Macaca mulatta: one gene and its partners. Each later gene encodes a partner of the first gene's protein in a complex. Links are inferred from orthologs where the notes say so. Each region holds a gene or a part of one and is shown in the gene's direction. Other genes may lie near its edges. The genes, in order: MED12, MED13, CDK8, MED8, MED31, MED20 and MED21.

Region 1 (4,034 bases):
ACTCTGTCTTTCTCTGCCTGCCTAAAGGCAGAATCTCTCCCTGCCTTCCTCTCTCTCTTTCTCTGCCTTCCTTTTTCTGTCTGCCTCTGAATGTCAATCCCTCTCCCTCCCCACTTCCTCTCTGGCTTTCTCCCCAACCCCTTTCTCTCCCGGTCTCGGCTTCTCTCCCCACACGCCCGCCGCCCGCCCCGTTCATTCGTCTCCTCTCCTGGTCCTGGCTGGCTTCATCTTGCGTCTCCATACCTCTCCCTGTCCCCCACCCTTCACTCTCTCCCCGCATAACTCTTCTGCATGTATGTGTGTATCCGTGTCTGTCTGTTTCTTACCATCTCTCTTGAATCTACCTATGACTTTCTACCCACTCCTACAAGTGCTTGCGGTCTCTCTTGTGTTTTCTAAGTCCCAACAGCTTATTGTTTTTCATTTTCTGGAGCAGGGTCTACAGGTTTCCACCAAACAGAAGATCTCGCCCTGGGATCTTTTTGAGGGGTTGAAGCCGTCAGCACCGCTGTCTTGGGGCTGGTTTGGAACAGTGCGGGTGGACCGGCGAGTGGCTCGAGGAGAGGAGCAGCAGCGGTTGCTGCTCTACCACACACACCTGAGGCCCCGGCCCCGCGCCTATTACCTGGAGCCGCTGCCACTGCCCCCAGAAGATGAGGAGCCCCCTGCTCCTACCCTGCTAGAGCCTGAGAAAAAGGCTCCAGAGCCCCCCAAAACTGACAAACCGGGGGCTGCTCCACCCAGTACTGAGGAACGCAAGAAGAAGTCCACCAAGGGCAAGAAACGCAGCCAGCCAGCTGCCAAGACAGAGGTGAGCGTCTCCCCCGTGACAGTTCTCCCACAGCCTCTTACTTCATGACGCTCCAGTTTCTGGTTTGTGGGAGGGGTGGGGGCGCATAAGGAAGGGGTGCCATTAGAATCATAATAAAAATTAACCATGTACAAATCCAGCTCCTCTTTACCTCATTCTCCCCCAGCTCCCCGACCCCACTCAGCTACAACCCACTCACCCTCTTCTTCTGTCACTCACACAGGACTATGGAATGGGCCCGGGTCGGAGCGGCCCTTATGGTGTGACAGTGCCTCCAGACCTCCTGCACCACCCAAACCCTGGTTCCATAACCCACCTTAATTACAGGCAAGGCTCCATAGGCCTGTACACCCAGAACCAGCCACTACCTGCAGGTGAGTGCCAGCCACTAGGAATGCTGGAGGGACCTAGGTGTATACTCCCCCTGCCCAAAGGGTGATGCCGTTCCCCTGAGGAGCTATGGATGTCAAGGACACTGAGCAAGAGACAGAGGGATGAGGAACCTAGAGGTCAGCCCACTCTCCTTTCCAGGTGGCCCTCGTGTGGACCCGTACCGCCCTGTGCGCTTACCAATGCAGAAGCTGCCCACCCGACCGACTTACCCTGGAGTGCTGCCCACAACCATGACTGGCGTCATGGGCCTAGAACCCTCCTCTTATAAGACCTCTGTGTACCGGCAGCAGCAACCTGCGGTGCCCCAAGGACAGCGCCTTCGCCAACAGCTCCAGGCAAAGATAGTGAGAGGGGCAGTAGGGAGGGCTGTCAGGGAGAGGGGCTTTTGAGGGTCACAGGACTGAGGAGACACGGGATCTTCACAAGGACACTCAGAGCAGGAGACACAAGAGATGAGATGGCAGCAAGCATTTCCTGAGTTTGAGTTGTTCTCTTCTCTCCCTTTAGCAGAGTCAGGGCATGTTGGGACAGTCATCTGTCCATCAGATGACTCCCAGCTCTTCCTACGGTTTGCAGACTTCCCAGGTAAGAGCCTGGGATTGTGAGACTCGGGGGATGAGGCAAGCTGCTTTGCATACTCTCAGCCCTGATTCCCTCTCTCCTCCTTCCCTCCAGGGCTATACTCCTTATGTTTCTCATGTGGGATTGCAGCAACACACAGGCCCTGCAGGTACCATGGTGCCCCCCAGCTACTCCAGCCAGCCTTACCAGAGCACCCACCCTTCTACCAATCCTACTCTTGTAGATCCTACCCGCCACCTGCAACAGCGGCCCAGTGGCTATGTGCACCAGCAGGCCCCCACCTATGGACATGGACTGACCTCCACTCAAAGGTACCCAAAGTAGTGGTGAGCTAGGAAGAGATGCAGAGGTATAAGGGAGCATTTGACTTGGGAAAGCCCGTGCCTGAAGGTGATGGGACTGGTCAGAACTTTTGGAGACGTCAAGAATACTTATCTGGCCACATAGCCCATAACCACAGAAGTCTCGAGCTGGAAGGGACCCTGGAGACCAATAGTTTCATGTGTACTTCCTTAACAGTTCTTTGAGGCCCAGAGAGGGGAAATTGTTTATCTGACTCATGGAAAAATCTGGGCTGTGTGGTAGCTCACACTGGTAGTCCCAGCACTTGGGGGCCCAAGGTGGGAGAATCAGTTGAGTCCAGGAATTCGAGGCCAGCCTGGGCAACATAGGGAGATCCCATCTCTAAAAAAAAAAAAAAAACATATTTTTTTGAAACAGAGTCTCACTCCAGTTGCCCAGGCTGGAGTGTCGTGGCATGATCATGGCTCACTGCAGCCTCGACCTCCCAGGCTCAGGTGACCCTCCTACCTCGGCCTCCCAAGTAGCTGGAACTACAGGTACACACCACCACGCCCAGCTAATTTTTTGGATTTTTAGTTGAGATGGGGTTTCGCCATGTTGCCCAGGCTGGTCTTGAACTGAGCCACCACACCTGGCCAAAAAAAATTTTTTTTTAATTAGCTGGGCATGGTGGTGCATGCCTGTAGTCCCAGCTACTCAGGAGGCTGAGGTGGGAGGATTGTTTGAGCCTGGGAGTTTGAGGCTGCAGTGAGCTGTAATCGCACAATGAGCCAAGATTGATTGCGCCATTGCACTGCAGTGGTGACAGAGTGAGACACTGTCTCAAAAAAAAAAAAAAGAAAAAGAAAAAAAAAATATCTGGAGTTCATAGATGAACTACATGATAAGGAGTCCTAAAGCCAGTACCGGCTTTAAATACCAGGTTGAATACCAGGATGGATTAATGAATGAATCCTCCCACCATGGTTAATGTTAGTCAAGCCTTAGTTCAGGCCTTGTAACCATGTTTAGAGACTCCAAAGCTTGGGATTAAGAACACTGGGGAGTGGACTAACTGCCCATTGTGTGGCCAGCACTATACCAGGACTGGGTGAGGTGAAGAAAGATAGCAAAAAACCCCAAAATGCATAGTTCCTCACTACAAAGAATCTTTACTATAGCTGGGGAGATGAGACTTACAGAAGAACATTGAGAGAACACTCTGAGCAAAGATATAATCAGGTATGCAGTTGTATGCTATGAGGTAAAATGCGGATTGAGAAAAAGTATGGGGTAGTATCTGTGGGCCTGACTCATCAGAGAATGTTTCATGAAGGAGGTCAGACTTGAGTTGGCCTTTGAAGAATAGCTGTGATTAGGATTTGTGGAGAAGAGGAAAGGGCATTCCAGGTAGAGGATGTAACATGAACAAAGACATGGGGACAAGAATGAGGATGGTGTCTGGGGAGAAGGGCCTGGATGGAGTGTAAAATCTGTGCTGGGGAAGTCACTGGGGCTAGGCTAGGAGGGGGCAGGCTGAGAGATGGCCTTGAATGCTCAGCTGAAGAATTGAGACACAGTCCCAGTAAGGACTCTTTTGATCAGAAGAGTGATAGGAGGAGTTGGGTATGTTGCAAGACTCCTTGGAATGAATGGATAGCATGTGTACTGGGAGGTGCAAGAAGAAGACTTCAGGCTGGGCGTGGTGGCTCATGCCTGTAATCCCAGGACTTTGGGAGGCCCAGGTGGGCAGATGACCTAAGGTCAGGAGTTTGAGATCAGCCTGGTCAACGTGGTGAAATCCCGTCTCTACTAAAAATACAAAAATTATCTGGGTGTGGTGGCATGCGCCTGTAATTCCAGCTACTCGGGAGGCTGAGGCAGGAGAATTGCTTGAACCTGAGAGGTGGAGGTTGCAGTGAGCCGAGATTGCATCATTGCACTCCCACCTGGGCGACAGAGTGAG
Region 2 (4,752 bases), on another chromosome or scaffold:
GCCACCGCGCCCGGCAAGGACTTCTTTTTCATTCCGTGGCTGAAGAAGTGACATGGAAGACTCTACCATTCAGTTTACAGATACAATTATGTATCTATAACACATAATACATAATTATGTATCTGTAATAGTTACATAAAATTACAGTAAGTCCTAACTCACCGATATTTCTAACTTCTGAATCATCTTTTCTTCTTCTGTCTTGCAATCCTAAAACCGTCAGAGAAACTGTTTTGAACTCTTATATTGAAGTGTAACCCATCCAAGCACTGGGTGTTTTATGGGAAAGAGAATGAACCTTTTGTTTGGTTCTTACTTCTTACCACCCACTCATTTGTAAATATACAAATATGAAGCACCTACTGTGTGCTAGGTATCTTTTTTTAGGCACTAGAGAGACAGAAGTAAACAACAACAAAAACGTAGTGAGACCTTTACATACACTAGTTCTCCTGCTTCTCACAATAACTGTATGAGGTAACGATGACAACAATAATAGTTAACTCTTAACAGTGCTTATCTGTGCAGGGCCCTGGGCTACCTGCTTAATTTGCATTAACTCATTACAATAAGCTTGTGGGGTAAGGGGCATGTTTTCCCCGTTTTACAGACGAGGAAACAAGACACAGGGCAGAAAGTGATTTGCTCAAGCTTGGAACCCAGGGAGTGTGGCTCTAATTCCCAGTCTATTAACTACAGGGCAATATTTTGTTTCTTAAGTTTCTATCTTCATATCACAACTTTTAGGTGGTGGAGTCTCGTCCCCATCCAGATCGTCTGACTCCCAAATCCAGAGGTTTGCGCCTGCACCCCAGCGGCCTCGCGAAATAAATGAGAATGTCTTGGAATTTTTGTCAATACTTTCTCTTCCAAAGAACTCAAACTGATTTCCACGTAATTCCCATTGATTTGTGAAATGAACCTTCCTGGACTGTAAATTTCCCCGCAAAGACAGGGCCAGGGCCACGGGTCATTTTACACTGGCCAGGGCACCCAGCAGGTGGCGCTATGTTAGTGGCTACCAGCTGGCTGCCCAGTCCCCGGGGCTCACCGCCTCGGCCGAAAGCTTCCCGGCCCTCCCTCGCTCACTTCTCTCTCCCCCTCCCCACGGAGCCCGGGCCCACGTGACCTCAAGGCGGCCAATGGGTGAGCAGAGAGGGCGAGCTGGTCCCTGTGGCCGCCATTAAAGCGAAGGGAAAACCCGTGAATTCGGATTAAAGGGGGAAAAACACCGCCCGCTGGGCCCACAAAATGGGGGAGACTACGGCGTCCAGCCGGTGAGGCCGCAGGAGGGCAGACGTTAGGCCGGCTCGGCCCAGGGACGACACGAAGACAGAGCCAGAGAATGGTCTGAGCCCGCAGACGCCGCCACCACCTCCGCCGCTGAGGAGACTCTGGGCTTAAGGACATCGCCGCTGCCGGGCCGGGGGCCTGGGCTTCTCTCCCGGTTCTCGCCCTTCCCGCCCCTGTGTGGGCGCCTCCCCGCCCGGGAGAACCTTCCAGGGCTTGGGCTCTGCCGTCTCGGACTCGTTTTTGATTATTTATTGTGTAATTTATTATTTTTCTTGTGGTAGGGGCACACATCCCCTCCGTCTCCCAGAGAAGGACGAGCGTCTGCGGGCTCCGCAGTCCGGCCCGCCAGGCGAGCGCGGCGCGGCCCTCCCGCCTCCGGCCCTCGGCCCCGGGCGGCTGGGTGCCGGCCGGGCGGCGGGGGCTGCTCGCGGCGGCGGCAGCGGCGGCGGCGGGGGGGTGGGTGGGGAGGGCGGGCGGCCCGGCGGCCTCCTCTTCCACCGCCCCCCCAACCACTACCCCCCCCACGCCCTCCCCGGTGTCTGTGTTTCTCTCTCTGGTCGGAGGCGGCGGTAATGGCGGATGGTGGGTTGTGGCGCCGGCGGCGGCTGCTGTGAGGGACGATGAGTGCCTCCTTCGTGCCGAACGGGGCCAGCCTGGAAGATTGTCACTGTAACCTCTTCTGCCTGGTGAGTGCCGGGGCCGGCGGGCGCCGAGGGAGGGGGGCCGTGAGGTGCGCCCTTGGGCCGTGGGGGAGGGGGCCGGGTCTGGTCCAGATGCCCGAGTCCCCGGGCGAGGCCCAGCCGGAGCCGGCGCCCTGCGAAGCTCCGCGGCCAACCCCGGGAGACTGCGTTCGCTCTCCCACGGTCCCGGGCCCTGTTTGGGGAGTGTTGGCATTTTTTCTCGTCTTCTTTCGGACTCTCCTCTTCACCGTAGTCTCGTCCTCAACTTGAGCTCCTTATCTGGCAGGACAGTAACCTTTCTCTCTCTCTTAACTGTTGCTTTTCTGCTTATTGGCCTTGTATCCCAGCTTCACACTTTCCATTATTGCCCCTGCTCCCCACCGCCTTTATGTCTCATCCTTTTAATTTGGTTTCCCCATGTAAACAGGACCCCAGAACTTATGCCCCAGAAACCTGTCTTCGTTTTACATTTTTTTTGTATGAGTCAAACTAACGCAAGGTTAGTTTCTTCCTTGGGTGACTTAAGATCTCTCTGTAAAAACCAGTAGGTGCCATTTCATATGTTTTCTTTTTAAACTTTGAAAACAGTTTGCCATTTTTGACAATTTCTAGCCATCTTGCTTTTATTAGAACATAATTTTTTTTGTGCGAGTGAAGGGGGCTAATGGACGAGGTGCTGTGGTTTTGCACTGTTTCTATATTTATTGTGTTTTGCTTGCTTTTTCAGAATGTTTTGAGCAGGCTGCTCCCTTGTTTGATTGAAATGAAAAGTCCAGAGAAGCTGGGTGTAGGGATGACCATTGTGTAGGTTAGCCCAGGTCTGGTAACATCCAACAGTTGAGACTTTCAAAAGTACCAACTGTTGCAAATAACTTGGCCTGTGTGGGACAGTAGCTGAGCTTCATCAATGACTTTAAGTTTGGGTGACTTTATTTTTTCATTTTCTCCTTTGTGCTATGAGAAATATTAAGAGTATATGATAGGTAATAAGTGAGTTAAGTGGGCGGAGCACAACTAGTTGGCAAGTGTAAACTGCCAGTCATGTATCAGCAGTTTCATTTTTGGCACCTTATGCTTTGCACCTTTAAGTTAGATTAAATTATTGAATTCCTCTTGAATTTCTTTCTGGATGCTAAATTGAGATCTTTCATACTCTATCCTCTTCTACAGTATGTTTTTCTTTTCAATGTCCATTAATCAGCATCTCTTCACGTATAATACGACATACACCAGGTTTTGTATTCTATCTTATCCAACTCAGTCTATTTTTGATACTTTTAGGATCAGGCTCTTTGAAGATAGACTAGCACAAATCTGACAGTTCTTTGTGAGCAGCTATTTGACTTTTCCGACAGGGGTATGTGTGAAGAATTAACATAGATTTTTTTCAGGACTTGTTCAGATGTCTTTTCATTAGAGACATTACTTCTGTAAATGTGGAATAAAAACTCGTGATAGGGTCTTTAATAATTGATTTTCAGTTAAACGTTTGACACCAATGAATAAATGTGACCATTTAGGACAGAGAAAAATGTACTCTGTTTGTATATTGAAGTGTGTGTGTCTGTCTATATTTAACTTCATTCAGTTTCTTTTATTTCTACTTGGAGTACATATTTGCTTGCTATTCAGTGACATGGTGGTATTTATTTTTAACTGTGTTCTTCTCCCTAAAATTGTTGGTTGTTGAATTATAAAGTCATTTTTTTTTTGGTTCTAATTTGCATTCAATAGCTCAAGCATATATTGAAAAATTGTAATGTCTTAACGAAATAGGAGACATCGTATGGAGTACTTTTGTGAATATGAGTGAATATGCAATAATAAAACATCATGCTTTCTTTTCTTCAGGCTGACTTGACGGGAATTAAATGGAAAAAATATGTATGGCAAGGCCCAACTTCTGCCCCTATTCTGTTTCCTGTGACAGAAGAAGACCCCATTTTGAGCAGTTTTAGTCGCTGCCTTAAGGCAGATGTACTTGGTGTTTGGCGGCGAGATCAAAGACCTGGAAGAAGAGAATTGTGGATATTTTGGTGGGGTGAAGACCCCAATTTTGCTGACCTTATTCACCATGACTTATCAGGTGAAAGAAACTTTCCATTTCTAATTAATGATACAGCAACATTGTATACTTCTCCCAGAATATCATTTGTATTACAAAGTAAGTTTGTTTTTGTGGGACACTTAGGTAGGAGGCCAGATAAAAATTGAGCTTCATGTTTTATTTCACCATGATTATTTTATTTTACTCAAATTATCCATGTTATAGCTGGGTTTTTTAGGCTTGAATGACTTTCTCCTTTTACCACCTCTCTTCTTAATTTCTCACGGGTAGTTAGGGTCCAAGGAAGGCATGCCACATTAATCTCAAAAAATGGAATCAGGAAACAGAGTTCCTAACAAAGTCATGTAATAGTTTTGAAGCCAGATGTAACTTTTGAGTCACTTCAGCCACTGTCAAAGTTGAGTCTTTTGCATTAAATGGGCAGATGATTCTAAAAGTACTGGAAATGTAACTATCCTTGTGTTTGTGTGTGTGTGTGCGCGCATGTTTTAAGGTATGTAAGTATTTTGTTACTGTCATTTGTGCTGTTTGATTAACATATGAAGGCATATGTTAATTTAGTTATTTTTGGAAAGTGACTCATATACTGTTCTGTCACATACTCAATAAGAGACAAGTGCCAACTTGTTTAGCTTTTATAGGACATGGGATCATAATCTAAAAGGTTACACAAACAATTTTATTATGAGCAAATCAATGTGATTACTTCCT
Region 3 (4,122 bases), on another chromosome or scaffold:
GCCTCAGCCTCCTGAGTAGCTGGGACTACAGGCATATGCCAGTATGCTCAGCTAAGAGCAGTATAGCTTTAATTATGGCTAAATTACTTACCTTTCATCTTCCTTTACATATTTTATTTTCTTCTTTGGAGTTTTTAATAACCAGATGAATTGTTACTGTGTTTATTGGGTGTGCTGGTAGAATTTTAAACATGCAAAGCTATCCATCATCTTTTTATGATCCTACTTAGCTGCCTATGTGGCTGTTGATTATCGAAGGTTAGATCTATAGGGGGTACCCATATAAAAAGAATAATCACAAAATAATTTCCCCATATACCTTTTGATGCCAAAAACAAAATAGGTTGGCCTATGTTTCTTGATGAGACTTTTCCATATGGTGATATTGGCTAGGCTTGGTTGTCTGATATGTAAATATGATGTCATTTTTTAAAATCACTTGCTGCAGTCAGTGTGAATCTTTAAGTAAATAGATGATTAATTTGTTACTTTGAAATGTAAATGTGTGTAATTTTATATTGAATTAAATATCTCTTCCAGTTTTGGAATTTAGGAATTCTCATTTTAGGTTTTTTTCCTTATTTCCTGTTTAAGTGACAGTTATTAACATATCTGAACAATCAGCTTTAATAAAACAGTAATTTTTATTTGTCCCCTTTGGTTATTTATATTTGTCACAGGTATTGGTTAGGTCAGTCAAAAACTATATGTTGAGGGTCTGCTATATGCACACCACTGTACTTAGTGTAGGATTTGTTAAGAGTAGAAATGAAATATTTTCAGCTTTAAATTCTAAATTGGCAAATAGATCTTACCTCTACTAATAGTTCTTTTGAGTACAAAGTTAATATGAATGAAAGTAAATCTGTATCTTGTGAATGAAAGGAATTCACTTTGTTGTGTACAGAGAAACCCATTTGCCTGGCTTTTGTCAATAATTCATTTGAATTTATAACCCCCCGCTTTTTTTTTGAGACAGAGTCTTGCTTTGTCGCCCAGGCTAGGGTGCAGTGGCGTGATCTCGGCTCACTGCAGCCTCTGCCTCCCGGTTCAAGCAGTTCTCCTGCCTCAGGCTCCCGAATAGCTGGGACTATAGCCACATGCCACCATGCCCGGCTAATTTTTGTATTTTTAGTAGAGATGGGGTTTAACCATGTTGGCCAGGCTGGTCTTGATTTGCTGACCTCGTGATCCATCCGCCTCAGCCTCCCAAAGTGCTGGGATTACAGGCATGAGCCACCACACCCAGCCGAATTTATAATCCACGTTAACAGTAATATTTTGCTTTTGTTTCCTGTCCTACGTATTAAATATTAAATTTGCAAAATCTGACACTGCTTATGGCATCAAGAACCACTTTGAAAGAAAAACTTTGTTAAAGTAGAAATGCTGTTAGTTCTTAGACTTTTTGAGGTTGGGCATTGTCTCTTGGTGGAATACCACCTTACTCATTAGTGCTAACATGAGAGGGTAATTATTAGACTTTGCAAATTAGCAAGTAAATAAAAAATAGTTTATCACAAGAATTTATGCCGATTGTGTTAGGCCAGTGCCCAATTTCAAATACTGTTTGGATTTTCCGTTTGTTTTTGTTTGGTTTGCTTTGGTTGTAGTTCCATGCTCCATATGCAGCTTTACTGTAGTTCACAGAAAAGGTATCATCTGGGACATTGAAAACTTACCAAAATCCAGCCAGTACATTTAATTGGGCTTAGAGTGAAACCATTTGGGTGATGTGGAGGTATACAAAATGAAAAATTGGGGTGGATGGCATGGGAATATATACTTACAATAATGTTTCGTGGTATTTAGTAATTATAATTGCTTAGGAATTAATATGAGTTATTAGGGAAAGAAAGAAAGAAGACACTCCCCAAGAAAATAAAATTGCATTTTCTTTTGGAAAGAACCACTTTATTTTCCACCTTTCTTTTTCTTTTTTCCTTGCCTTTTTTTCTTTTTTTTTTTTTTTCTTTTTGTTTTAAAGATATTTGGGCTATAGGGTGTATATTTGCAGAACTACTAACGTCAGAACCAATATTTCACTGTCGACAAGAGGACATCAAAACTAGTAATCCTTATCACCATGACCAGCTGGACAGAATATTCAATGTAATGGGATTTCCTGCAGGTACACATTATTCGTTTTTGTTTTTGTTTTTAAATCACTGTTGTTTGAATTTAGATGTCTTCATTGGAGAGGTATATATTTTTAGCTGATGGAAGCTACTCTTGACTCGAGTCTTTGCTTTTTGACTTGCATTTATCAAAGATCTGTAGAAACAGCAAAATTTGTAGAGTTTACATATTGTCATGAACATATTTATGGTTTTCCTGAATTTAAGGACTGTATTTTTGTTTCATCTTGTTTTGCTTTTTTGTTTTGTTGTTTGATATGTGAAATGATAAAATATTTGCAATATCTGTATTAGAAAGGTACCTTAGTTCATTTATAGTGGAAACTATAAATGAATTCAGTAGTAGAAATTTTTTTCTAGCAGCACATATAATACTGCCACTATTTTGAGCCTTATTTCTATTTAGGGCACTATACAGAATCACATTATATTGAATAATAGCATTTACGTCTTCTCAGAACAGTCACAATGTGAGTGACTCGTAGTACTCTGTGGTGAGTTGGCCTGCTGTTTTGCAACACAGAGGTGGTTTACATGTATCCCATCCCTGGCATTAGATCTCTCCAACTGTATCTCAATCCCTAGTTATACTACAGAACAGTGATCACCAGAAACTGCTCAGAGGTCCAGAATAATGAGAATTTGTTTAGAACACCTAAATTTTGGCTAGTCAAGTACTTAACTGAAGACTAATAGAGATAATACCTGAGACTTTTAATTCTACATTCCCTTGTAAGGGTGTTAATTATCAGTAAATGCAGAATAACTACACAGATACTGCCTTTCTCCAAAATTGGTCACCGGTTTGAAGAAGACCTCTGTTGTGATAGGAATTTTATTTATTCAGTGAATATTTATTAAGTACCTGCCATGTGCCAGGCACTGTCTTAAGTAAAAAGTTACTGATGATGTAACAGACAGGATTATCGCCCTCTTGGAGTTTACATTGTACTGCTATATGTAGAATGTTTAAAAAATAGGTGTGGTTTGAGTAGAGACAGAAGAATTCTCTTTTCTTCCTGCTTCTGAATGTGTCCACCATTTCTGAGCCCATGAGAAAGGCATAGCTTCTGTGAGGGAATATATGGAGTGAGGACATCTATCAGCAACTCTTAATGTGTGTTTCAGAGGTTAGGGTGGTTTATAAGGAAGCTTGGAAAGCAGGCAGCAGAGGTTAGATTTGATAGCTAAAGAATGAGAATCCATGATAAGTTCTTCAGTACTAGAGACATGATTTATGCTACATTTTAGAAAGATTAGTAAGGTGGTGGTAGGTAAAACTCAGTTAAAAAGAGGTAAGCGAAATCAGAAACCAGCTGTAGCAGTGCTGCAGACATAAAGTGAGAGTGATAATAAGGATGGAGAAAAAAGGGCAGATGGAAATGTTTTATAGGAAGTGTATAAGCAAGGGAAAACTAAAAGATTATCTTAAGATTTCTAGCTTGAGAAGTCGATAAGATAGAGAAATTGGAGCAAGGAAATAGTTAAGGAGAAAATTCCATTTAGGAGTGTAAGTGTATGTTTAGTTTCCAATATGTGATATCTTTGGAAGATAGTTGCCAAATATTTTTACAAGTAAGTTCAAAGAAAAGCAAGCCTCTGAAGGCCATTTAAAAGCTAAAGGTTTTGGGAGGCCGAGGTGGGCGGATCACCTAAGGTTGGGAGTTTGAGACCAGCCTGACCAACATGGAGAAACCCTGTCTCTAGTAAAAATACAAAATTAGCTGGGCATGGTGGCGCATGCCTGTAATCCCAGCTACTCGGGAGGCTGAGGCAGAAGAATCGCTTGAACCCGGGAGGCGGAGGTTGGGGTGAGCCGAGATCGCACCATTGCACTCCAGCCTGGGCTGTTAACAAGAGCAAAACTCCGTCTCCAAAAAAATAAATAAATAAAAATACTCAAGGTGCTATTAAGCTGCCCCTGACAGTCCTGTGCACCTAGTAGACTCTCAGGGAAACCCATTGACAGTGATGGAGAAAACAA
Region 4 (4,122 bases), on another chromosome or scaffold:
ACCATATGGGGCTACTGAGCACCTACAATGTTGCTAGACCAAAATGGATGTGCTATAAGTGTAAAATACAACACTAGATTTTAAAGACTTGGTACCAAAAAAATGTTAAATATCTCACAATATTTTGTATTTTATTACATTTTGAAAATGTTGGGAGTTTGGGTTAAATATATCTTTAAAATTTATTTCATTTATTTTTTTATGTGGTTATCAGAAAACCTAATATTACACACATGGCTTGCTTCAGATTTCTACAGGACGGTGTCGTTCTAGACTATCTGCCTAAAAGGTAGGTTGTATTTCCCCACAACATCCCTCCACGTCCTTTCACTTTCTAATGAAACATCCTCTAAACTGTTTCATAGTTTTTCTTGTATTAATATTTCTGATTGATCTTGACTGATATTTCTGATGCATGGGCTATTTTACCACCTCTGTGAACATGACTATTTTAAAAAAGGCATGGTTTCCCACCACCATATTCAACATTGGGTCTTATCACACCAAATCCCAGTGAACAGGAGATTTACCATTCTGTGGCTACTTTATTATTTATACTATGAACAATATGGTTAAGAACACAAGGACTGGAGCCTGGCCATCTGTTTTGGAGTCCTGATTATAATATTTAACAGCTGTGTAACTTTGTTACTTTTTTTTTTTTTTTTTTTTTTTTGAGACAGAGTTTCACTCTTGTTGCCCAGGCTGTAGTACAATGGCCTGATCTCAGCTCATCGCAACCTCTACCTTCCCGGTTCAAGCGATTCTTCTGCCTCAGCCTCTTGAGTAGCTGGGATTACAGGCCTGCGCCACCATGCCCAGCTAATTTTGTATTTTTGGTATAGACAGGCTGTCTCCATATTGGTCAGGCTGGTCTCGAACTCCTGACCTTAGGTGATCCGCCCCTTGGCCTCCCAAAGTGTTGGGATTACAGGTGTGAGCCACTGCGCCCAGCCTACTTTGTTACTCTTAATATCTCTGTGCCTCAGTTCCTAAACCAAAAAAAAGGAGATAACAGTGTCCACTTCATAGGGCTGACAGAATTGATACTGGTAAAGCGCTTAGAATGGTGCCAAGCATGCAGTATGTATGCAGTAATGAATACTATTTGTATCATTATACACATCTCTCACCCTTTCCACCTACTAATATACTGGCACCTTTCCTAGTGGTGGTGTTTTATCCAAATCTGAGATTTTAAGCTCAGATCTTCTAACTCCAAATTGCTACTTCCTGGATGAGTGGCATTTGAGTAAGGTACTAAATCTTTCTCATTTTTCAGTTTTCTCCTCTGTGAGAACGCCATCTTCCTTGCAGAAGTCTGAATGACACAATGTATATAAGGTTCCTTGCATGTTCCTTAGCATCTAATGAATATCTCATATCCCCTTTCTGGTTTATTACATGTGATCCTTACAACACACTGTAAGACCATTTTATAAAGAAGGAAACAGGATCGGGGAAGACTCGCTTGAGCTTGCACAGATTAGCTACATGACAGCGCCAATATTGGAGCGAGGTCTCAGTCCGACTCAAATGTTTTTTTCATGAAATTAAAGCTGCTTTTCTAAAAGCATGGGCCCTAGAACTAAATGAATTCATGCTGTTTACAGCATTCCAATGCCTAAAGAAATACAAAACCCGGCAAACTAAATCTACTGCCGTGTTGCCCATTGAAACTGCAACAGAAAGTCAAAATACAAATTTTGTTAATACCACTATCATTAGGTCAAAGAGTTGACGACGCGGATGACACGTCAGTAAACAAAACAAAGCAAAAAGAGTTACTCCTTTAGCTCCCCGAGGAAACTGCAGACCGCGTCCCATAGTCCGCAGGGGTACCATAGTCGGGCCTTCCGGGCTGGGCTGGTCCCTGCCGAGGCTACGCAGCCCGGCCACCCCCAGACCCAGAGGAGGCCAACGCCACGCCTGCCCGCCGGACCCTCCCCCTCGGATCTCAGGGCCCAGTGCTGCGTCCGCCCGCCCCTCACCTCCGGCTCGGGGCGCTCCGAGGCCATCACACAAGCCCTCCCGCGCCGGCCCGGGCCTGTGTGTTCCACTCTTGACCCCTGACCTGGCTACCTCGGCACCCGGAAGGAACAGGAAGTGGGTGGGAGGGCCGAGTTCCAGTTTTCTGATTGGTGGACGAAGCCTTCTCAGAGGCGTTTGCTGACAGGAAACCGGAAGTGGAAATCGTTGCAGTCGCCTCGGCCGCCGCAATGCAGGTGAGAGCCGCGTTGGGAGTGCTAGCGGCTGGCCAGCTTCGGCTACAGGGAGCCAGAGTGGGCTGGCTAAGGAGAATGAAGAGTTGGGACTGAGAAGAGAGGGCAGAACCCACGGCTGATAAGGGAACGTGGGTTGGGGGGCGAGGTTAATTGGAGAGGGAGCGGCGCAGATGAGAGGTGGGGGTGGAGCTCGCCTGACAGAAGGCGGTCGGGCTAAATCCGGAGGGAGGAGGCAGCACTGACTTGCTTGGCGTGGGAAAGGATTAGGTTGTAATACGGGGAGGCCGAGATGCAGTCCAAGGAAGACGGCTCAGGAGGTGGTGGGTTGGCTCAGGCCCTGTCCTAAGCTGCTGGATGGAGGCTGTTGGATGCCGATATAGCAGGGGATCTAATTGGAAAGAAGCCCAAGCAGTGAGGGAATTGTGGGCCGCGGTGTCCGAAAGCTAAGCAGCTTGTAATGTGAGGCCATGGTGGAACCCAGGATCAAGTTCCTGTCAGGCACCTTAGCAGGTTTGCAAGACAGTTTTGCATCACTCTTCCCAGCCTGTGCCCTATAGTTGTTAAGGGTGAAGAAATGGAATAAAACAGGATACCACCGATGGGAAGGAAATGCTTTGCAGACCCCCGGCATTTTAATTTGTTTGTTCAGTGCTTAGAAGCATGTGCGGTTTTGGTTTTCATTTGTCACTTAGTTTCCTGCAGCTGGTAGTCTCAAGAAATGTTATTGGGTTGACCGAGCTTGTGAAAGAGGCACGGGAATATTGACACAGAGATAGATGGGTGCATATTAATTCAGCGAGGAGAAGGTTGAAACATGAAATGATGAGAGCAGATGGAAAGCTGGAGTGGTTGGTGGGGGGAGGGAAAGAGGAGAGCAGGGCTGGTATTCAGAGAAGTCTTCATGAGTAGGCAGATTTCCCAGAGACTGACAAGAGAGCCAGGCTCACAAATGCTAGGATGGAGGAAGCTGGAGTGCATGTGCTACAGAGGTGCACATGAGATAATGATCTGGCATTAGGTTTGTCGAAAATGTCTCAATGAGGGAGTGTAGGGTGTACCTAATACAGAGAAAAACCAGGCATAGATTAGGAGCGGATGGGAAAAAGGAATCAGTTGGTGGAAGTACTTGGGTCAGGCAAACGGTTGAAAGGTCTCAGGGTTGATGCTGTCTATAACCCAAATACCACAGATAGGAAACAACCTGGTTATCCTATGCCAATGAGATCCTGTTACCTGACTGGTGTTTGCACACCATCTCCTTGGCTTTTCAGCCCTCCTTTCTATGTGTCATACTCGTTTATCTGGGTAACCAACCTGTTCCTATTGGTGCAGAGAGAGGAGAAGCAGCTTGAGGCATCATTAGATGCACTGCTGAGTCAAGTGGCTGATCTGAAGAACTCACTGGGAAGTTTCATTTGCAAGTTGGAGAACGAGTATGGCCGGCTGACCTGGTAAGGGTTGCCAGGGCAAGCTAGGGAGGGCTTATGGGTGGGGGGGCCTAGCCTTCTGATGAATAGGACACTTCTAATGATGTAACCATTTATCAGTTTACAAACATCTTTTGATTTGGAAAGAGCTGGGTTTCGTAACATTTAGCAAGTGGCTTCCATGGCAAGGAAGTAGAGAAATGCTCGGTTTCCTAACCCAAGTTCATTATAGCTTTCAATTCTTACCCTTTGACTTCTCTGGTGAGGAGGTCCTCCTATTACAGCTCTATTTGTGCTGGATCTCTTGCCACAAATATGGCTGAGTCCTTTAGATCCAACCTACTCTGAAGTGTGGATCCTATTTCCAGGCTGGAAAGAAGGATTTTACCGGGTTTCTGAAGTTTTAGTTATAACAGTATAGTCCTATTTTGCCACTGTTCCTCACCTCATTCAAACAATGAACTGGATTT
Region 5 (3,498 bases), on another chromosome or scaffold:
GGCCTGTTGTCCTGCTGGGGTGCTGTATGTAGTATGGGCTTTAGTCCAGGCCTGTTGTCCTGCTGGGGTGCTGTATGTAGTATGGGCTTTAGTCCAGGCCTGTTGTCCTGCTGGGGTGCTGTATGTAGTATGGGCTTTAGTCCAGGCCTGTTGTCCTGCTGGGGTGCTGTATGTAGTATGGGCTTTAGTCCAGGCCTGTTGTCCTGCTGGGGTGCTGTATGTAGTATGGGCTTTAGTCCAGGCCTGTTGTCCTGCTGGGGTGCTGTATGTAGTACAGGATCCAATCTAGGCTGTTGTCCTGCTGGGGTGCTGTATGTAGTATGGGCTTTAGTCTAGGCCTGTTGTCCTGCTGGGGTGCTGTATGTAGTATGGGCTTTAGTCTAGGCCTGTTGTCCTGCTGGGGTGCTGTATGTAGTACAGGATCCAGTCTAGGCCTGTATGTTGCATTTTGCTGTCACATCTTAGTCTCCTTTCATCTCAGTGGTCTTTTCTTTTCCATGACTGTGACAGAAATGATTTTGTATCCTTCATGTATCTGCAGTCACATGAAGTCTATTTGTCCCACTACTGGTGACATTAATTTTGATAACTTGGTTGAGGGTGGTACCTTCTAGGTTTCTCCATATTAAGTTACTATTTTTCCTTATGTATTTAATAAGTATCTTATGGGGAAATCCTTTGAGACTATGTAAATATCATATTACATGCCCATTTTAGCATCTTTTGAAGATATTTGTTTGAAACATTTTTTACTGTGGTGATTTTCGAATTCTGTCATTCTGCATTTATTAGTTTGGAATTCGATTGTAAGGCAGTACATTCCCTTGTTTTCTATTTATTATTTTATTAAAGAAATTTACATCCATTTAGTATTTTATCCTGTGAATTAGAATTATGTATTTTCTTGCTCTGAGTATTCTAGATTTGGCCATTGGGAGTCCCTTCAAGTTGGTTCCTGAATACTTTTGATCGTCCCAATAATTTTTAGCACTTTTTCTTCTGGCACTACGTAATGTTCCAGGCTCATCTTGTACTTTCCCTCTCTTATCCCTGAATCACCCTTTTCTCCAAGGAAACCTGCTCCTTGGATACCACAATCTGGACATTGTGTGTTCATTAGTACCACAGTGTCATTGCTTCTAGGCCCTCTCAGTACACAAAGCTCAAGAACTCTATGTTTGTATGTGTATCCATGCACACATGTATACATCTGTTTATCCTGTCTACCTATATTAAAAGCCCTAAGTACATACTAATGTTTTCAATACCAGCTCAGTAACACAGGATTCATTCTAGCCTTTTTCCTTTCCTTGTCGAAATTTGGCTGTCCTTATCCACAGTATATTTACTTGTCCAATCCTAGAGTATATCTAATTTCAGAGTTGGTATATCCCTGTGGACAAGAAGAGTATAATGTATGTGCATAGTTCTCTTTCAAACCAACTCACTTTTAAATGAAAGTTGTCTTTTTATCACTATTGATGGAAAAACAAAGAACTATCAATTAAACACAGAATTAGTAAAATATGTTCATGTTCTTCACGTTGGAAACCACTAGAAGGGAATAGCATGGTTTGTCCCTACATTTTCACTCTGCTTACCAGTTACTGTGTTGTGTGGTCCTGAGCAAGTTTAAATTTAATCTTTCTGAACTTAAACCTTCTCACTTTCGAAAATATTGCTGAACACTGACCTTTGATGACCAATCAGGGAAAACACCCTATGCTGCCAGTGTGTACTAAGTTAAAGAAATGGTAGGCTACAAGATCATTTTTAAGAGAATAACTTAATTAGACCTTGGCATTATTTACTTAAATTATGTTGTTCATTTACTTATAAACTTAAACCCAGGTACCCTCAGTGTTTACACATGTTAGAGCTGCTCCAATACGAACACTTCCGAAAGGAGCTGGTGAATGCTCAGTGTGCGAAATTCATTGATGAACAGCAGATTCTACATTGGCAGCACTATTCCCGGAAGCGGATGCGCCTTCAGCAAGCCTTGGCAGAGCAGCAACAGCAAAATAACACATCGGGAAAATGAAAAACCGGATACAGATGAGGCTCTCAATACATGTATATAATGTATTTCTTTTGTACAGTGAAGACAAAAAATGAAAACTCTTCCTATCTACCTTTATTATGGTAGCCCCTAGAACCTTTAGTGTGCTTTTTAATCCAACTTTTTATTGTTAATAGACTATTTCTTTTAAACCTGAATTGGTCTACTTTGATTTCCCTGTGGATTTGTAAGGTGTTTTCTTTTGTATGCATTTAGCATAATCAGCTGATTAAGAATGGAAAAGTTAGGTGCTTTAGACCAAATGAGGCACTGGGGCATGGGGTAGGGGTGGGCCACCAAGTATACTGAATTCTAAGGCTAGCTCTTCCTGACATATAGTAGCGCAAGGCCATCTCCTGGAACCTTACTGTCTCTCAGATCAACTACTCTACCACTCTTATCTATGTAGTGAGAGTAGCGGAGTCAGTGACCTCTTTAAATCACAGGATAGGAACTGCATAAAGGTTCTCAAATTCTGCAGGACAGGAAATCCCTGTATTACCTGCTTTGCAAGGTGGCTTTAAGAATCACTGTGGCCTCATTTGACCTAGTCATGGCAGGACAACTAGTGGTTAATTACTAATTGGACTCTTGACTTTAGAACAAACATGAGGAGCCTCAAATACTTGTGCTCATTTGGGAAAACTAACATTGATTTGGGAGGTACCACATACCAGGTGCTATGTTAAGTGCTTCCTTGAATTCTCATTTTATTCTCAGAACCTTGTTTACAGAAGAGAAAACTGAGGTTTGGATGGGGCGGGTAACTTGCCTGTGGTTACACAGCTAGTAAGTGGTAGAATCAGTGTGACTGACTCCAGCTTGGAGTTCTTCCCACCACTGGGTTACACAGTCTCTCCAGCCCCTCGCCGCCACCTGCCTAATCCCAAGTAAAGCACGTTGAGAGAAGCCACAAAACGAACTGCCTCTAGTGCTCAGGGTCGGTTTTTTCATGAACAAAACAAAACTGCCTGAATTAAGCAGAGGCTGGATTAGAGGTAATATGCTTCCCTCAGTGGTGAGGTTAGGTTCTACGTTCCAAAATCAAAGAAGGGGTTTCAGGACTATCAGTTGCTTTGCAGATGCAGAGAATTTAAAATAAAAGATCCTGATCTTTTGAAAGATTTGGAAGGTGTGCTCTGCGCCTTTAGGAGTTTTTAGGTATTTCCGTCACCTTCAATGATACATTCCTTTGAGCCTTTACTGCTACTTCTGAAGACTTGTTTATATCTTAAAAATATCCATATATTACAGGCAAACTAAAGGTTCATGGGCATTTTAATAGCACCCTACTGTTTAGACACATGCCAGTTTTTTAACCTCATTTATTGCTAACATGTATTCAAAGCAATATACAGTTTATTGATACTAGAACAAATCAGGAAATCAAGACATGATTGCCATCATAAAATCTTAATCTTCAGAGAACAACATTT
Region 6 (4,122 bases), on another chromosome or scaffold:
GCTGGGATTACAGGCACACACCACCACGCCTGGCTAAGTTTTGTATTTTTGGTAGAGACAGGGTTTCACCATGTTGGCTAGGCTAGTCTTGAACTTCTGACCTCAAGTGATCCTCCCACCTCGGCCTTCCAAAGTGCTGGGATTACAGGTGTGAGCCACAGTGCCCGGCAGTTTCCTTATTTGTAACAAGTTGATAAATAACATCTTCATAGGACTATTGTGAGGATTTGGAGTGTTAATTCATCTAAAGGCCTTAGGACGCAGACTGGCACGTTGTTGGTTGGCAATTGTTACCTACCACTCTAAAGGGGAAGCCACCATATGAGGTTCACTCACCATAGGAGGAAACCTTGGAAATGTTTTTTTTGTTTTGTTTTGTTCCATTGTTTTGATTCAATTTTTGTGAATACTGTTGCCTCTCATTCCCGAAGATTATAAACTTGAAGGCTGCTTTTTTTCTGTTCCTAGGGCTGTTGACTAGAACTTTCTGTGATGATGGAAATGTTCTCTAACAGCAGTGTCCAATACACTAGCCCCAGCCACCTGTGGCTCTGGGCTACTGTGCTGAACAGCTCCACAGAGTTGGTAAAAACGTGTAAACCCAAACTGAGACTTTGTCCTTGATGTAGTCAGAACTGAAAGAGTTGCAAAAGGAATCCCTTTTTCATTATATAACTCAGCATTATTGAATGCTCAGCCTGTGTGCCATTTAGAATCTTCGGCATGCCACACTTGAGAATGTCCCATGATAGGAAGTTCATTGCTCTGGTGTGAGAATCCTGAGAACTATGCTTCAGTTCTTAGAGGGGCTCTCAGGGACAGTGGTCCTCTATTCCTTGTCTTTAAAATGGGGGACTAGTCCAAGTGTAATGAGTTATCTTAATTGATTGTTCACATTCGGTTACAGATTGGACTCCTTGTTCTACTCTTCCCCATTCTAACTACTGCACTTGACTGGTCTTAACTTTTTTTTTTTTTTAAGATCGAGTCTCGCCCTGTTGCCCACACTGGAATACAATGGTGCAATCTCGGCTTACTGCGAGCTCTGCCTCCCAGGTTCAAATGATTCTCCTGCCTCAGCCTCACAAGTAGCTGGGATTACAGGCGCCCGCTACCACGCCCAGCTAAATAATTTTTGTATTTTTAATAGAGACAGGGTTTCACCATGTTGGCCATTCTTGTCTTGAACTCCTGACCTCGTGATCCGCCCACTTTGACCTCCCAAAGTGCTGGGATTGCAGGCATGAGCCACCATGCCTGGCCAAAAAAAATTTTTTTTTAAATTTATAATAAAGTTGCAGGGGTTGGGAGACGGTCAGAGTAGGTAATTTCCAAGATAACTTTTGGCCCTGACGAGCTGTGATGCTGTGGGCGAGTGAGTGGCTCAGTGAGCACATGTGTGTCTCTGGATAACTGACAATTTGGTGCTCTCCTTTCCAGTGTGTCCCAGATGCCTGTGGCTGAGGGCAAGAGTGTTCAGCAAACCGTAGAGCTCCTTACCCGGAAATTGGAGATGCTTGGGGCAGAGAAGCAAGGAACATTTTGTGTGGACTGTGAGACTTACCATACGGCTGCATCTACCCTTGGCAGCCAAGGTCAGTGACATGGGTCTGTAGGATGGCTGGAACGAGGGTTGGAGTTAATAGACATTTGTATTAATTGAAGTATTTCTGCTTTTCTGCTAAGGGTGGTGTTCTTTTTTTTTTTGAGACGGAGTCTCGCTCTGTCGCCCAGCCCAGGCTGGAGTGCAGTGGCGCGATCTCGGCTCACTGCAAGCTCCGCCTCCCGGGTTCACGCCATTCTCCTGCCTCAGCCTCCCAAGTAGCTGGGACTACAGGCGCCCACAACCGCGCCCGGCTAATTTTTTGTAATTTTTAGTAGAGACGGGGTTTCACCGTGGTCTCGATCTCCTGACCTTGTGATCCGCCCGCCTCGGCCTCCCAAAGTGCTGGGATTACAGGCGTGAGCCACCGCGCCCGGCTAGGGTGGTGTTCTTAAACATGTGGCGAGATGTGTTTCTGAATTCATTAATTATTGGTTCTTTATTTCTTAGAATAGGGCCTTTGAAAGCTTTATTTTATTTTATTTTATTTTATTTTATTTTATTTTATTTTATTTATTTTGTTGAGACAGGGTCTTACTCTGTCGCCCAGGCTGGAGTGCAGTGGCATGATCACAGCTCACTGACTGCAGCCTCGACCCCCTGGGCTCAAGTGATCCTTCCACCTTGGCCTCCTGACTTGGCCTCCTGAGTAGCTGACACGACAGGCATGAGCCACCACACCTGGCTAATATTTTAAATTTTTTGTAGAGACAGGGTCTCCCTATGTTGACCAGGCTGGTTTTGAATTCCTGGCCTGAAGGGACTATCCGGCCTCAGCTTCCCAAAGTATTGGGATTATAGGTATGAGCCGCCACTCCTGGCTAAAGCTTTATTGAGGTATAGTTGATATACAAGCAGTTGCACACATCTAATGCATACATCTTAATGAGTTTGGATATATGCATACACCTATGATATCATCACCACAACCAAGGTACTAAACATATCTGTTACATCCCAAAATTTCTTTGTGTGTGTGTGTGTGTTTTTTTTTTTTAAGAGATAGAGTCTTGCTTTGTTGTCCAGGCTGGAGTGCTTTGGTGTCTCATAGCTCACTGCAGCCTCAAACTCCTGGGGTCAGGTGATCCTCCCACCTTAGCCTCCTGAGTAGCTGAAACTACTGGCATGTGCCACCATGCCTGGCTGATTTTTTCACGTTTGGGTGGGGTCATGGGAGTGTCTTACTATGCTGCCCAAGTTCGTCTCAAACTCCCAGTCACAAGACATCCTTCCACCTTAGCTTCTCAAGTAGCTGGTATCAAACTCCTGAGCTCAGGGGATCCACCAGCAAGGGCCTCCCGAAGTGCTGAGATGACAGGCATGAGCCACCATGTCTGGCCCTTGTGTTCCTTGAGTGCTTTTTGTTTTGTGCAGTTTGAACTCTAAAAGCAATGTTTCTCAGAGGGTTAATCACTGACTAACCACATCAGAATCACCTGGGATACTTGTTAGAGTTGCAGATTCCTGGCCTTGTTTACTGATTGACTGCTGCTGTAGGCCACGTAATCTACATTTAATAATCCAGACAATCCTTATGCACTCTGAAATTTGAGAAAGACTTGTTTTAGGCCCAGAAGTCTTTGTTTATGATTCTTTTAGAGCTTTAGGGCTTCTAGAAGTTTCTTTTTATAGAGTTCCTGTTTTCCTACACCTAACCATTGGCATTGACCTCCTCATTAGCATAAATCAATTGTTCTTTTTAGTGGATTGAGTGATGAGATGGGGTGTGGATGATGGGGGATGGTGGTTGGGAGGGAGAGAGGATTTTTTTTTTTTTTCTTTTTAGAGTGAGGGTCTCACTTTGTTGCCCAACTGTACAGTGGCATGATCACAGCTCACTGCAAGCTCTTAACTCCTGGGCTCAGGCAATGAGAGACTCTTTGGATATGAGTTAGGGAACTTGTTTCTCTTAGTCTTGGCTCTGCAGTAACTTGACCTTGAACAGTTCCATAACACTGTGGTTATCACTGGGGAGCCAGAGCCCTGAGTCCTGGCTTTGCCACATTCTAACTGTGTACCTGTAGGTAACTCCAACAACCTATCTGTTACTATTTCCACGCCTCTCATGTACCTGTTTCCCTTAGATCCATTTCCTGCACTTCCCCTGTAAGCTGTATTTTCCAGGCCCTCTCCTAGTTAGCTTTGGTTATTGAGAGGCACCAGAGAAGATTAGAGGATGGGAGAAAGGAAGCCCACAGTGTTCCTCTCCCTCTGCTTTGGGCAGTGTCTCTAGCCGTGGCTGTGTCTTCACTTCCTTGGTTCTAGCTTCTGCTAGGCAGCCCTCATTCCTGCCTCTGATAACAGCACATATTTTCTTTTCCCTTTAGCCTTAAGAATGGTAGTAGCTTCCTGTGTTGCTAATCTTTGGGTTGTCCCACCATCCTGTTTGGTTTTTCCTTTCTTCCAACCCGTGTATTTGTTCCCCGTATACATTTCTTCTACCAAAACTATCTGACATGGGCTCTGTTTTTGGACTCTTCCCCAATACACTTCTGTCATCTATAAAATGAAGATAATCA
Region 7 (4,726 bases), on another chromosome or scaffold:
AAGAGCTTCATAAACCCCTTTTCAAATGTAGGCTAAGTTGAGAGTCTGGTCTGGGGAAAGGGTCCACAGCTTTTATCTGATTCTTAAAAAGATCCGTGGCCAAAAGAGGCTGAAGAACCAGAAAAACCAAGGGGTCAGGGCCCTTGGCTGAAACAGAGGATTATTTCACTCAGAAAATTATCAAGAGGTGAGGCTGGGTCTGTTTGCTGGAGCCAGATTATAGTAAATCTTGACAACTAGGCAGAGATAGTTGGACATCAACCTGAGGTCTCTGTGGAGGCACGGAAGACCTACTAGGAAGATAGTGGCAGGACAAAAACTGTGTCACAATATGAGTTGTCTTGAAGTGACTTCTCTACTTCAAGTGCCCAAGTTCCCTTCAATCACGCTGCAAAACTTAGTATCCTTACGGAGTGGACTAAACTGTATTCAATCAGTCACCAATCCGTATTAATTATTTTTCTCAAAAATATATTTTAGTCTTTTTTTCCTCTCTTATCAGGGTCAACCAACACCCTATTCTAGGCCCAGCTCACCTTAATCTTGGACAACTGCAAAACCTTCCTCTTGGTGAGTCCTTGGCTTATTCATCTTTGCACACTGAGCACTGGATATACTTCCTGGCATGTGGCAGGCATTCAGTAAGGTACACGCTCAAGTGAAGGTGGGAGGAAAAGGTTGTAGATTCCCCCAAGTTACAGTTAGAACAAATTATGGAGTGATTTCTCATTAGTTCCATTATGGGGAGCATGCCTCATCCACGTTCTTAATGAGGCCCCAGTAAGTCTGTAGACTGTTTGGGGATGAGGGTGGGGCATGGGTGTGAAGCAGAAGTGGTGCTTCCCAGCAAGGGTTGGGATAAATCCAGCAAGCTGAGTTCCCCGGGGACTGTGTCCACCACCTACCCCGCAGCCGCAGGAAGGTAATCACGGATAATCAACCTGAGAAAGAGGATATGAGAGTTTGTTTGATGTCTCCAAACCTGTTATTTGCCGACTCCAAACTCATTTCTTACCAGACTATCCTCAGGCTAAATTTCCTTAAATACCAAGTTTCTATTATCACTCTTCACACTTAATCTCTCAATAAGTCCCAACTCTAAATCTAAATTGTGCAGCTGATTTTTCTTGGCCGGGCGCGGTGGCTCATGCCTGTAATCACAGCACTTTGGGAGGCCAAGGAGGGCGGATCACGAGGTCAGGAGACGGAGACCATCCTGGCTAACATGGTGAAACCCCGTCTCTACTACAAAAAAAAAAAAAAAAAAAAAAAAAAAAAAAATTTAGCCGGGCGTGGTGGCGGCGCCTAAAGTCCCAGCTACTCGGGAGGCTGAGGCAGGACAATGGCGTGAACCCGGGAGACGGAGCTGGCAGTGAGCCAAGATCGCGCCACTGCACTCCAGCCTAGGCGACAGAGCCAGACTCCGTCTCAAAATAAATAAATATATCTACTCTTCAATGTAGTCAATAAGTAAACACATGAGAGGATAGGAGAAATCACTAAAAAAAAAAAAATCCCCGCTGAATCCAACAATCTCTGAAGCCTTTAACACCTAACAACCTCAAAGAGAGTATTTCAGCCCCTCAAAGCGATGGACCCCAGGCCGCTCCCCAGTTACTCAAAAGATCCAGCCTCTCCTCTGGTGTAGCCCGCTCTAAGGCCGCCTCGGCAGTACCACCCACTCCTGACGGGGCGGGGAGTTCTCTCCGACCCCACCCCTTCCAAGAAGGCAGCGCTGGGATTGGCCATGACGCGTACCAGAGCTGCCCAGTCGCGGAAGAGCAGCTGTTTTGGCGTCTGTTTGCTGCAGGAAGAACATGGCGGATCGGCTCACGCAGCTTCAAGACGCTGTGAATTCGGTGAGGAATTTCATTCGATTAGCCTCTGTCTTTCTCTTTCCTGAGGTAAAGCAAGGGAGAAAAGGGGCCCAAGAGGCAAAACTTGGAAGTGGAAAGCGGACTGAGAAACAGGGCTTCGGCATAAAGCGCTCTCTCGGGAGGCGCCACCGCGAACTCGGAGGTGTGAGGCCGGCTGCCGGGCGGTGCTTGAAGGTGCGGGAGGGAGCAGCCTCTTTCGCTTGAGGAGACCGGGAAGATTGCTCTTGTCCGGGTGGGGCCGCCAAGACTTGTCGGCTGCGCGGTCCTGTCGTATTCCCTGAGGACAGTTTTATTTTCTTGGCAGCGGTGCTTACGGGATCTCTTTTGGGGGTTGGGAGGAGAAGCAGGAGCTCTTTTCTTTCCTCATCAATTTGAATCCACCAAGGGAGATCTCGTGCTGTGGATGACTGGGTTTTTGTAATGAAATGCCAGCCGAGAGTATTCCTTCACCAGCGCTTTCAGGTTGGTGCGGAGCGACGCTGAGGTGAGAGATTTTCTTTCATCTTCGCTCCTTCCTGTGGGCCCAGAGCCTCCTTCCATCTCTTGTCTCTTGGCCACCCCTCAGAATGCATCAGTTTGGGGACATCTTTATGATAGGAAATCTTCTGATTCTCGTATGTCTTTCCGTTTATTTGAGTCTTTCTTTTTTCTTTTCTTTCCTTTTTTTTTTTTTTTTTTTTTACTTTGGAGACTGTGTCTGTCGCCCAGGCTGGAGTACAGTGGTGCCATCTCGGCTCACTGCACCCTCCGCCTCCGCCAAACAAGTAGCTGGGATTACAGGCGCCCTCCACCACGCCCGGCTGATTTTTCTATTTTTAGTAGAGACGGGGTTTCACCATGTTGCCCAGGCTGGTCTCGAACTCCCGGCCTCAAGCGATTCTCCCGCCTCGGCCTGCCAGAGTGCTGGGATTACAGGTGTGAGCCACCGTGCCCGGCTTACAAGTCTTTTTTAACGTCTCCCCCAAATTCTACGCTCTATTAAAGGCCAAGTCTTGTAGGTAGCTCCCCAGCTTTGTTCCTTCTGGTAATTTTTCCTCCAAGCTATGCCTGAGTGGAAAGCAGAAGCAAAGCCAGAGGATGCGCATACAGTCATGGGCCCTTAATGAAGGGGTTATGTTCTGAGAAATGCATGGTTTCGGCGATAACTTTTTTTTTTAATAAGTAGAAGTACAATGTATAATAACGAGGAAACAGTAAATACATAAACCAGTAACAAAGTCATTTAGTATCATTATCAAGTATCATGGACTGTACTTAATTGTATGTGCTAGACTTTCATACACTGGCAGTGCCGTAGGTTGCTTTACAGCAGCGTCACCACAAGCACAGACCGCTATGATGTCACTAGGCAGTAAGAATTTTTCAGCGTTGTTATAACCATAGGGGACCGACATAATATATGCATCCCGTTGACCAAGACGTCAGTGGGTATTCTCTTGCTGCAATGGGTATACTTATTACCATTACCAGTTACATAGTTTTCTGTTAAATAGTTTTCCATTGATAGTTATGTTTCTCATTGTCTGATTGTGATTTAACGTCCTAGATGAGGGGCTAGAGAGAAAACATGCTGAGAGGAAAACCTAAGTACCTGGTTTCTTTGCCAGTTTTTTTTCCTCACTGTAAGCTAATAACTTGGCATTTTTCTTAATACATCAGGCTTTGTACACTTGAAGAGTGTGAATCTACTTGTGATAAACTGATCTACCCTGGGTGAATAACACTAGTTTTTAAGGCTGAGAGGACCAGCTTCTAAATGTTGAATTCACCAAGATAAATTCTGCCCTGCAGGGACTTGCCTGAGCTGCCAGTCAGCCTTCCTCAGGGAACTACTCCTTTGAGATTTTACAAAATCAAATTGTAATGATGCTGCTGGATAGAAATCTTATTTTAGGGAAACTTTTGCATATTCATACATGTCTTGTAACTAGAAGGATAGTAAGGACAGAGTGAATATGGCCTTAACTCCAGGTTAGGCATGCTGATAATTGGATTTTGGAGAAAAGCCTTTAGGATAACTAGTATGAGTGCCTACTGTGTATAAGCACTATCATGTTTGCAAAGAGATACTCCTTAAGGAGGTTAAAAAAATGTCATATACTCAGGAGACATTTAAGTGATGGAAAAACAGTATGTGGTTAGGGAGTTATAATGAATTGAGTATTTTCAGCTTTAGGTTCTGAAGTAAATTGGAATATGGAGTGATGTGAACCAAAATAGAGGGAATCTTCTTAGCATTTATCCTAATCAGATTTGTATAACTTTTAACATTTGTTCTACCCTCTGAAAACCATGAGTGCAGAAGCTATGTCGCATTCACTATGTCTCTATAGTGTTTAAATGTAGTACTTGTCATAGTTATTTTCCATAAAGTTTTGTTGACTAAATGGATCTTAAAAGTTTTTTTTTTTTTTTTTTTGAGACGGAGTCTCTCTGTGTCGCCCAGGCTGGAGTGCAGTGGCCGGATCTCAGCTCACTGCAAGCTCCGCCTCCCGAGTTTACGCCACTCGCCTGCCTCAGCCATTCTCCTGCCTCAGCCTCCCCAGTAGCTGGGACTACAGACGCCCGCCACCTCGCCCGGCTAGTTTTTTGTATTTTTTAGTAGAGACGGGATTTCACCGTGTTAGCCAGGATGGTTTCGATCTCCTGACCTCGTGATCCGCCCATCTGGGCCTCCCAAAGTGCTGGGATTACAGGCTTGAGCCACCGCGCCTGGCCTAAAAGTTTTTGAAGGATGGAACAGATAGACACTGTGTTGAATATTTTGTGTATTTCCTCTTCCTCACAACAATGCTGTAATAGGAGAATGTATCCAATTTAAAAATGAAAAATGCTACCTGGGTTAATAG

The links.
Region 2: the proteins of MED12 (region 1) and MED13 are in contact, whole or in part, in a cryo-EM structure (PDB 8TQC), measured with the Homo sapiens proteins. The link is inferred for Macaca mulatta from reciprocal best matches to the Homo sapiens genes MED12 and MED13. Residues at the interface, in NP_005111.2 of Homo sapiens: Ala3, Phe4, Arg12, Pro13, Arg16, Leu86, Thr123, Thr127, Thr150, Pro152, Val153, Met154, Arg155, Phe242, Pro278, Leu281, Arg282, Arg356, Pro357, Phe360, Gly361, Cys364, Gln367, Thr368, Cys372, Pro407, Glu408, Phe413, Val417, Lys1526; in NP_005112.2 of Homo sapiens: Ser157, Glu158, Thr336, Val337, Pro339, Gln340, Ser341, Gln343, Lys344, Trp345, Lys347, Phe348, Asp1186, Ile1189, Leu1190, Gln1193, Asp1194, Pro1332, Ile1333, Thr1335, Leu1337, Tyr1340, Asp1341, Tyr1342, Asp1343, Tyr1344, Leu1345, Val1346, Leu1347, Ser1348.
Region 3: the proteins of MED12 (region 1) and CDK8 are in contact, whole or in part, in a cryo-EM structure (PDB 8TQ2), measured with the Homo sapiens proteins. The link is inferred for Macaca mulatta from reciprocal best matches to the Homo sapiens genes MED12 and CDK8. Residues at the interface, in NP_005111.2 of Homo sapiens: Pro26, Gln27, Gln31, Glu33, Asp34, Leu36, Asn40, Val41, Lys42, Gln43, Gly44, Phe45, Asn47; in NP_001251.1 of Homo sapiens: His143, Ala144, Trp146, Phe180, Asn181, Ser182, Pro183, Pro186, Ala208, Arg209, His210, Thr212, Lys213, Met273, Pro274, Pro320.
Region 4: MED12 (region 1) and MED8 share a complex: the UniProt entries of both Homo sapiens proteins name them as parts of the mediator complex. The link is inferred for Macaca mulatta from reciprocal best matches to the Homo sapiens genes MED12 and MED8.
Region 5: MED12 (region 1) and MED31 share a complex: the UniProt entries of both Homo sapiens proteins name them as parts of the mediator complex. The link is inferred for Macaca mulatta from reciprocal best matches to the Homo sapiens genes MED12 and MED31.
Region 6: MED12 (region 1) and MED20 share a complex: the UniProt entries of both Homo sapiens proteins name them as parts of the mediator complex. The link is inferred for Macaca mulatta from reciprocal best matches to the Homo sapiens genes MED12 and MED20.
Region 7: MED12 (region 1) and MED21 share a complex: the UniProt entries of both Homo sapiens proteins name them as parts of the mediator complex. The link is inferred for Macaca mulatta from reciprocal best matches to the Homo sapiens genes MED12 and MED21.

What each region holds. Positions count from the first base shown.
Region 1 is NC_133426.1:77,600,350-77,604,383, forward strand, and holds part of MED12 (mediator of RNA polymerase II transcription subunit 12), read left to right. Parts: intron 1-436; coding exon 437-811; intron 812-1,034; coding exon 1,035-1,185; intron 1,186-1,342; coding exon 1,343-1,548; intron 1,549-1,711; coding exon 1,712-1,789; intron 1,790-1,879; coding exon 1,880-2,097; intron 2,098-4,034. UniProt on the Homo sapiens protein: Component of the Mediator complex, a coactivator involved in the regulated transcription of nearly all RNA polymerase II-dependent genes.
Region 2 is NC_133421.1:49,804,541-49,809,292, reverse strand, and holds the start of MED13 (mediator of RNA polymerase II transcription subunit 13), read left to right. Parts: upstream 1-1,780; 5' UTR 1,781-1,913; coding exon 1,914-1,979; intron 1,980-3,824; coding exon 3,825-4,059; intron 4,060-4,752. UniProt on the Homo sapiens protein: Component of the Mediator complex, a coactivator involved in the regulated transcription of nearly all RNA polymerase II-dependent genes.
Region 3 is NC_133422.1:6,509,059-6,513,180, forward strand, and holds part of CDK8 (cyclin-dependent kinase 8), read left to right. Parts: intron 1-1,987; coding exon 1,988-2,131; intron 2,132-4,122.
Region 4 is NC_133406.1:197,278,906-197,283,027, forward strand, and holds part of MED8 (mediator of RNA polymerase II transcription subunit 8), read left to right. Parts: intron 1-1,991; coding exon of another isoform or gene 1,992-2,018; exon of another isoform or gene 2,019-2,088; intron 2,089-2,195; exon of another isoform or gene 2,196-2,204; 5' UTR 2,205-2,219; coding exon 2,220-2,225; exon of another isoform or gene 2,226-2,735; intron 2,736-3,557; coding exon 3,558-3,676; intron 3,677-4,122. Other genes in the region: KICSTOR complex protein SZT2, read right to left, coding at 1,992-2,018. UniProt on the Homo sapiens protein: Component of the Mediator complex, a coactivator involved in the regulated transcription of nearly all RNA polymerase II-dependent genes.
Region 5 is NC_133421.1:8,125,631-8,129,128, reverse strand, and holds the end of MED31 (mediator of RNA polymerase II transcription subunit 31), read left to right. Parts: exon of another isoform or gene 1-195; intron 196-215; exon of another isoform or gene 216-1,851; coding exon 1,852-2,044; 3' UTR 2,045-2,755; downstream 2,756-3,498. Other genes in the region: TXNDC17 (thioredoxin domain-containing protein 17), read right to left, coding at 3,476-3,498. UniProt on the Homo sapiens protein: Component of the Mediator complex, a coactivator involved in the regulated transcription of nearly all RNA polymerase II-dependent genes.
Region 6 is NC_133409.1:140,256,668-140,260,789, forward strand, and holds part of MED20 (mediator of RNA polymerase II transcription subunit 20), read left to right. Parts: intron 1-1,440; coding exon 1,441-1,595; intron 1,596-4,122. UniProt on the Homo sapiens protein: Component of the Mediator complex, a coactivator involved in the regulated transcription of nearly all RNA polymerase II-dependent genes.
Region 7 is NC_133416.1:29,388,190-29,392,915, forward strand, and holds the start of MED21 (mediator of RNA polymerase II transcription subunit 21), read left to right. Parts: upstream 1-1,784; 5' UTR 1,785-1,817; coding exon 1,818-1,859; intron 1,860-4,726. UniProt on the Homo sapiens protein: Component of the Mediator complex, a coactivator involved in the regulated transcription of nearly all RNA polymerase II-dependent genes.